Linked DNA regions of Coturnix japonica. The protein of the gene in region 1 binds, or shares a complex with, the protein of each later gene. Links are inferred from orthologs where the notes say so. Each region holds a gene or a part of one and is shown on either strand. Other genes may lie near its edges. The genes, in order: NDUFAF1 and TMEM186.

Evidence for each region.
Region 2: NDUFAF1 (region 1) and TMEM186 share a complex: the UniProt entries of both Homo sapiens proteins name them as parts of the mitochondrial complex. The link is inferred for Coturnix japonica from reciprocal best matches to the Homo sapiens genes NDUFAF1 and TMEM186.

The regions. Positions count from the first base shown.
Region 1 is NC_029520.1:21,995,681-21,999,595, forward strand, and holds the end of NDUFAF1 (complex I intermediate-associated protein 30, mitochondrial), read right to left. Parts: intron 2,588-3,915; coding exon 2,513-2,587; intron 1,187-2,512; coding exon 1,046-1,186; 3' UTR 732-1,045; downstream 1-731. UniProt on the Homo sapiens protein: As part of the MCIA complex, involved in the assembly of the mitochondrial complex I.
Region 2 is NC_029529.1:9,416,384-9,420,380, reverse strand, and holds TMEM186 (transmembrane protein 186), read right to left. Parts: upstream 2,473-3,997; coding exon 2,464-2,472; exon of another isoform or gene 2,380-2,463; coding exon 1,570-2,379; 3' UTR 692-1,569; downstream 1-691. Other genes in the region: PMM2 (phosphomannomutase 2), read left to right, coding at 2,471-2,614, 2,816-2,927, 3,060-3,136, 3,316-3,407, 3,583-3,682, 3,774-3,849. UniProt on the Homo sapiens protein: As part of the MCIA complex, required for efficient assembly of the mitochondrial complex I.

The DNA.
Region 1 (3,915 bases):
AGAGGAAATTGCTGATGCAAGATGGTGTCAACTCTGTTGTGCTTTGTCGCAGTCTCCATTTAAAACAGAGCTAGGATTAGTATTTTTAAGGTACTTTTAAGTAAGCAGAGGACACTAAGTGAAGTCAAGGCTTTGATTAGACTGTGACATCTGAAATGAAACCATTTGGCAAATGTTTTTTGAGGTGTTTCTTAATAAGGTGTTTCTTAAATTACTGAGAACAGAGGGAAAAAAGGGGGGGGGTTAGGGAACTGACCATTTGCCACTTGATGCTTTGCCCCTTTCTGCAACATAGTGAAGCTAATAACTCATCAGAAAAGCATCGTTTGCTCTTACTGGGACTGTGGGTAACTGTGTTCATCAAGGTGAAGTGCCCTTCTAGGGAATGGATGCTGATGGGGCCCCCCCGGCGCCTTACTTCGGTTCAACAGCTTCATCTTTCTACTTTGTAGCTCTTATTACCCATAAAAATAAGAGCCAAATCAGTTTCAGTGCTACTGTTTCACTCGAGGCAGCAGCAGGTTTTTCTTTTAGTTCCTTACAGGTGCCAGAAGTTCAAGTCTGACATATGTTACGTCCTGTTCTTTACATTTCTAAAGCTGTGACACTTAAGCAGTATTATCACTGTATTTACACCATAACTTCTCCAGTTACAACCTACTGAGTTCAAGTGTTTTACAGCTCTATAAACAATGTATTAGAAAATCAAACTGAGTACAAAAAACCAACGCTACATTAACAAAATACTTTTATTTCCCTAAAGATCAGGAGAAAAGTCAAAATATATCCAGGCAGCAGTTAGCACACGGTAAGCATGTAGTGCAGCTCTCACCGGGCTGTATTCCAGTTCCTGTAGGTGGAAGCTCTCAGCCTGGCATTGGCAGCTTGATGATGCCAACAGTGTCAGTCTTGTCAGATTACTGAGTCAACACTTCATCCACTTAACATTTAATGTTTACATGTTTATATAATTGTAACAACTTGAAGCATGTTCTCACACGTTAAGTAAGCAGCTGATGAATGTTCCAAGGGATGCAAGACCAACTTAGGTTCGAGGATTCCTTTCATATGTTTCATAAGCAAATTCTTCTGTGTGAGCTCTATCGTTCAGCAGGCCAATAAAGTCAATCTCCAGTTGGAAGGGACCATCTATTTTATCTCCCAGTGTGAATCCAAGGGTACTAATCTAATAAAAGAGATGCATAAGTTAGAATACATCTTAATAATGTTACAACCAGTATCTACCACTTCCACATCCTATAAGTAGTTCACATCCACTCAGTCTACGAGTTATTTAATAATACTCAATAAGTATTATATAATTATTATAATAATATTATATTCTATATTATATAAATATATTATTATATAATATTAAAAGTATTTCTGAAGCTGTGAATATTTTATTTTCAATACAGGCTCCAATGGAATTCACAGTTGCTTCTCTACCATTAAGTCGTAACATGTACTGAAAATGGCCTAAGCCTGGTGCAACACTGGGATTTTCATCCCTTGAGGTTTGGATGTTGTCAGTTGACAACATGAAGGGGTGAACAAACATCCTTCTGTCACACCTTTTTTTAACAGTTCTAATGTGAGCAGGAAGCACAAATACAGTGTAATAAGTTCCTTCCATTCTAAAGTAAGACAGAGGCCTGGTACAGTCTGAAAGAGCCCCAAAGCCAACATTTTGCAAAACATAAAACTCAGTAACAGCTTTATGCCACACACTGAGTTATTTAGTCACAGTTTTCCACTTCAAATAGCATTTTTCAAAAGAATGTCCTTCATTCATTCCCTACTGCTACACTAATTTATTAAATAATAACTTTCTTTTAATTGTAATAAACCCCATAAAAATCCCCAGGGCTCAGACATGTTCCCCATTAGCCTGTAGTGTATGCCTTGAAAACCTTCTCTTGTACATCACCAGTCTTTCAGAGACTCCATTGTTACTGGTTCTCAAACCAGTCTCAGATTGATTCTAAGATTTCAGCTGCTTTATCTTCCCCAGAAGCGAGCTCTGCAGTCAGCCCCCCTGGCCTCTGGAGGCTACAGAAGTTCTAAAGCTTTCTGTTACAGGTGACTGCAGGAGTCACCTAAACTCTATGATGTTCTGAAGAATTTACCCCTTCATAAGCCCTAGACACTCTGTGATACATGCTTACCTTTGCTATTTATGTCAGTACTGTGCCAAATTGCATTTTAGATTTCTCAGTCACTTTGATCATTCCCTTAAAAAAAAGGTTTATTTTTTTTTAACAGCCAAGTTATCTAAATCTCTTAAAAATGTCTTTGGAGCTACTTTGAAGTCAACTGACGCTGAAATCACAAAGTAGGATAATTTGCATGCAAAGCTACACACACAAAAGAAGTACCTTAAAACAAGTAGAAACCCCTCTTGAATTTTAAATTTAAAAACACTGAATATCCCAAGGATCTCTCAATTGCCTACACGATGGCAATGCAACCTCAAAGTAGCTCTGGCAAATTAAGCCTACAGAAAACTTGCCTTGTCCAACCAGATGGGATGTTGGTCATCCTGTACTCTTCCTCGACTGGACAGAAAGAATTTGGAGAACGGAATCTGACAGCAGAAACAAAAGAAAAATAGACTTTAGTGTCACCAGTATATATAGAATAAAACCTTAAAGGGGAAAAAAACAAACAAACCCTGCCTTAGAAAATGAAATAACACTAAATCTGGTACCAGCACTTCAAAGTCCGAAGAATCAGCAAAAAGCAGCAGGTCACTCATTAGCCATGTGCTGCCAGCTCCAGCCCCACACTGCCCTCCAGCAGCTGTTTCCAGCTGTTAGGCTGGATTCTGAGCTAGCTGGATGCTCAGAGATAGCTCAGATTGACGCAGGAGAGGTTGAAGCATGGAAGATGGCTGTTCACATCTAGAATATCACCTTCCAATGGCGTGTCAGCTTTAACAAATTAATGAGAAGTCTAGGATGCACTATAGGCCCACGGAGAGCTCATCCACATCCAGCCTGCATATTCTATACTGCAAATTTCATTCAAAGACATCAACGTCCTAGCAAACAGTTCACAAAAATATAACAGTGATTTGAACTGGGTGGGAACAAGAAAGGAGGGCTGTGACAAGGGACAGGAAACGAGAACTGGCTGCTGTGAGTGAGGAACACGTGCAGGCCAGCAGTGACACACTTCACTGTCCTCAGAAAAGAGCTGAAACTCCCATTTCTTGCCAACATTACAGGGTGTCACAGATTCAAAGGCTGTGACTAACAATCCACACACCTCTGAGGCCCCAAGTGACTCCAAGTTTGGCAAACCATGTTGAAGGGTACACATCCTACACCAATCTAAGTCCATTCATTACAGATAAAACGGTTATTGCATAGAAAGTTCCTGGCGCTGCCTGCAAAGCTGCAATAGCTGCATCTATTCAGTGCATGCTCTGACCACCCACTGTATGAGCTGAGTATGCACCCTGTGTGGCTGCTTGTTGTGTTTCCCAGTGTTAAGACCCACAGGCTCCCAGACAATCATAGATACAGAATGGCAGGTGCTCCTGAGCGCCACTACAGCCCCACACACACGTGGGACAACCACGATGTTCTAGTTTTGGTGGCTCATTTTTTGTTAGTCTGTACTAAAGAGCCCTCAGCTCATGAAGCCAATTTCAGATAGGAGTAGAATTTATTGTTTGTTTGTTTCAATTAATTAAATTTAAGTATATACATACATTTGTCATAATGTATGTATTATAGCACATATATTCCCATTCTATAGCATGGGATATAGTATACATGTATAGCGCCAGCCCAGTTCAAAGGTCTGCCTCCTGTAACAGCAAACAACAGACATTCCGGGAAACACGTGGTAGATTATTTAAAATACATAATAGATAACATATTCATATACTAACACTAAATTTATTGT
Region 2 (3,997 bases), on another chromosome or scaffold:
TCAGTACCTCAGCTTTGCCCGGGACAGCCTGCCATAGTGCTTCAAAAAGACTTCTTATAATACCCTTAAAATTACCCTTAAACAGCTTAAACTTGAGGCTGTTTCCTCATCCTATCAATCACTATTACCTGGGAGAAGAGACTGAGCCCTGCCTTGTTAAAGCCTCCTTTGAGGTAACTAACTGTAGAGAGTAATAAAGTCCCCAGGCCTCCTTTCCCCTGTGCCAAACAATCTGCTGCTCCTAAAGGTTTGTACTGCATTGTACAAACCTTTAGGACATTGTACATTGAACTACATTTGTTCCTAGATTTAAATCCTGATTTCTGCTGAGATTTTGGCTTTGGCAAAGGAGGAATCAATAATACAGCAGAGCACCTCCTCTGCCCTTTACAGACACAGGGGGTGAGGTGATGAGCTCCACACACACAGGGGGGGCTGTGATCAGCTCTACCAGTTCAACAGAACAAGCTACACCTGTTACACTTCTCAGCTGTAATTCAACACAGCTTTTATCTGTTTTACCTTTTCTCCCCTTGTTTTAGGTCAGGGCAGTGGGTGGGTATTTGCCAAGGGTGCTGTAGACGTTAGAGAGCCCAAATCAACACACAGATCAAGCAGGACAGAGCAGCTGAACCACAGCTACATGGTGATCTATGGTGGTAAACAGAAGGTTGGTGACTTCAGTCTCAGATAATTTTTTAGCAATATTTACTGTTTTTGCAACTCGAGTGCTACAGCAGTGATTAAATGTCATTCACACATACATACAAACAACCCCCCCAGCATGAACATATGCAGACAAGAACAAGTAGTTCCAAATTTCAACATAATGATTGTTAAAATCCGAACTGAGAAAGGGCTCCCTGTCATTCATAGCACCACAAACGAAGAATACTGCATTCTTCCTTTATTTCAATGGGAAATGATTTAACACTGAAGGCTCCTGGAGGGGCTTTAACCACCCAGACATCAGCTGTGCAGCAGCACTTGGGTTCTGTTTGCACCCACACAGCCACCAGCCCTGCGTACTCAGAGCTGATCCAAATATCGTTTCTTTAACACTGATTTTATGATTGTCAGGAAGCCTTTTCACCATTATAACTACTAATTACTGCTCATAAATCCATGGGCCAGTATCACTCTGACATCTAGCATCATTTATCATACGACTGTATGGGAGCACTTGAATTTCACTAAGTTTCCCAGCTAACCTAAACCTTGCTGAAGGTGAATCTGAAATGAGGATGCTCTGACACTCACTTTGAAAGCTTGGGTTTTTTTTTACCCAAAGCCTCCAAAGCTGAAACATTGCAGGGCAGCACCTCGCTGCCTCTATGGCTGTGTGACACTGCACACACTAACTGCATCCAAAAGGAGCACTCCTGCTCACCCCAGAACTGCAACACTTACTTACTTACCCAGAGGACTGTTGGATACTGTTACACTGAACACACAGCCCAGCAGACGTGGCAAAAATGACAGAAGTGTATCAGTTCGATAAACGAATTGCATGTTGTGCAAGAATCCACATAAGGAACAATACAACAAGAGGCATCAGCTGCCGCTGAATCACTGCAGCTCTCCAAATATCTGCATAAACTTCTGTCTGTCCACAATCTGTCCGTATTTAATAGTGAAATACAAGACCTCTGTGCTGTTGTACCTTCTGAACCGGAGCAGCAGCTCTCCCCTGGCATCCCCGACCTCATCCAAAGTCATCACCGTCTCCAAGGGGCAGCAGATGTCGTTGCGCCTCCCCCAGAACGTCATGTGGGACACTTTGACGGTTCTTCCGCTTTCACTTAAGTAAATCAACCCGATAATTCGTCTGAAAAAGTAACTCATCCCGTACAGCATCACAGCGGCAAAGACAGCGATGCCGGCCGTGTACAGCAGCACGGCCTGGGGCAGCTGCTGCTGCAGGTGCAGGTAACACACGGGTGGAAGCACCAGCAGCGTCGTTGCGGTCTGAAGCAGCTTCAACCTCGACAGCAGCCGGCAGTATTTAATACCAGGGAACCTGTACACCACGCGGAACTCTTCGCTTTTACCTCCTCCAACCTGCGGGATGGCAGCGACAGGAGCGGCCCTGCCAGGCAGGGGGGTTGGAACTACATGATCCTTGAGGTCCCTTCCAACCCGGGTCAATGTGTGATTCTGTGTGATTCTGTGAGACCAACGGCGCAGGAACCGAGACGGCACACGGTCACCGAGAAAGCCGTGGATTCTCCCGTTGTGTGCCCACCAACACACGGCCCTACCGAGCGAGCAGGGCGGCCCGGCGGCCTCCTCCTTCCACACCGTCCTGCAGGTCCCCCCATGCAGCCACCTCCCCATGGCCGACAAGGCGCGGCCGCTCCTCACGCAGCACAGCCGGACCTGCGGGCACACTGAGGTGAACAACGAGGCCCAAAGCCGCGCACCCTGAGCAGGCCGAGCTCCCCCCGCACCACCACAACTCACCATCGCCATGAGGGAAGCGCTGCCACGCCGCCGTCTCACAGCACCGCCCCCTTCCCGGCTGGCCCCGCTGCTCACAGCCGCGATGGCGCCGGCGGAGCGAGCCGTGCTGTGTCTGTTCGATGTGGACGGGACCCTCACTGCGCCGCGGCAGGTGAGTGGAGAACGGCGGGGGGAGATCAGGGCCGAGCGGGGCGGGATGAGGGGCCTGGAGCGGTCAATGGGGCAGCGCCTGAGCACGGGGCTGTATGGGCTGCACACACGGCTGGGCACGGGGCTGTATGGGCTGGGCACGGGGCTGTTACAGCTCCGGGTAATGCTGACCCCGATTGCACTGTTTGATTTTCGACCGTAGAAAATCACGGCGGAGATGGCGGAGTTCCTGCAGAGGTTGCGTCAGAAGGTGAAGGTGGGCGTTGTCGGGGGTTCAGACTTTGAGAAGATCAAGGAGCAGCTCGGTGATGACGGTACGGGATGGGGCTGTGCCCGGGGTTACCGAGTCCTTCTTCCCGTTGGGATCTCACTCGTTCTAACCCGTGTAACTCACGTTTGAACACACGGGCGGTTCCTGTCACCACCTTCCTCCTGTTTGTTTGCAGTGGTTGAGAAGTTTGACTACGTGTTTCCAGAGAACGGGCTCGTGGCTTACAAAGATGGGAAGTTCTTCAGCAAGCAGGTAGGGGCAAAAAAAGTGGGAACTTCTAGTTAAATCAATGGAGAGTTCCTTATTGAAAGGCCACTGCTCTGTGCCAGCAATCACAGCTGATTATCCACCAGCTGTGTTCTCCTGTTAAACTGTTTCAAGGATCTCCAGATGTGGAGCCTGGGTTAATTAATGGTATTGATTTTGTTTAGAACATTCAGGGTCACCTGGGTGAGGAGGTGCTCCAAGACCTCATCAACTACTGCCTGAGTTACATTGCAAAGATTAAACTGCCAAAGAAAAGGTATGTGCATAGGATGCATCTCAAGTCAGCATCTAAGAGTGCTGGGCTTCAATGTGCAAAGCAGACACCTCATGTAAAGGGGTCCCACTGTCTTTAAACAAAGCCTCATTGCTACATTCAGTATCTTAAACGTTGTTTCATCTGTTTTCTGCCTTGTTAATTAATTCTCTTTCAGGGGCACTTTTATTGAATTCCGCAATGGGATGTTAAACGTGTCCCCCATTGGAAGAAGCTGTAGCCAGGAAGAACGAATTGAGTTCTATGAACTTGATAAGGTGATTGGGTGTTTTTAGTTATTATTTTTCTATTGCTGAATTAACACAGCGTGCAGCTGATCCCTTTTGTTTCTTTGTTTTTCTTACACAGAAGGAGCATATAAGAGAAAAATTTGTAGCTGATTTACGAAGAGAATTTGCAGGAAAAGGCCTCACATTTTCTATAGGTATCACATTTGAAATAATCTCATTTGAAACACCATTTCATTTAAATCAGATCCTCCCCCTGCCAAACAACCTAACACAAAACACTGTAACATGAAAGTACAGCAGCAATAGCACAGCATCAAGGTCCTAAACATGCTCAAACACAAC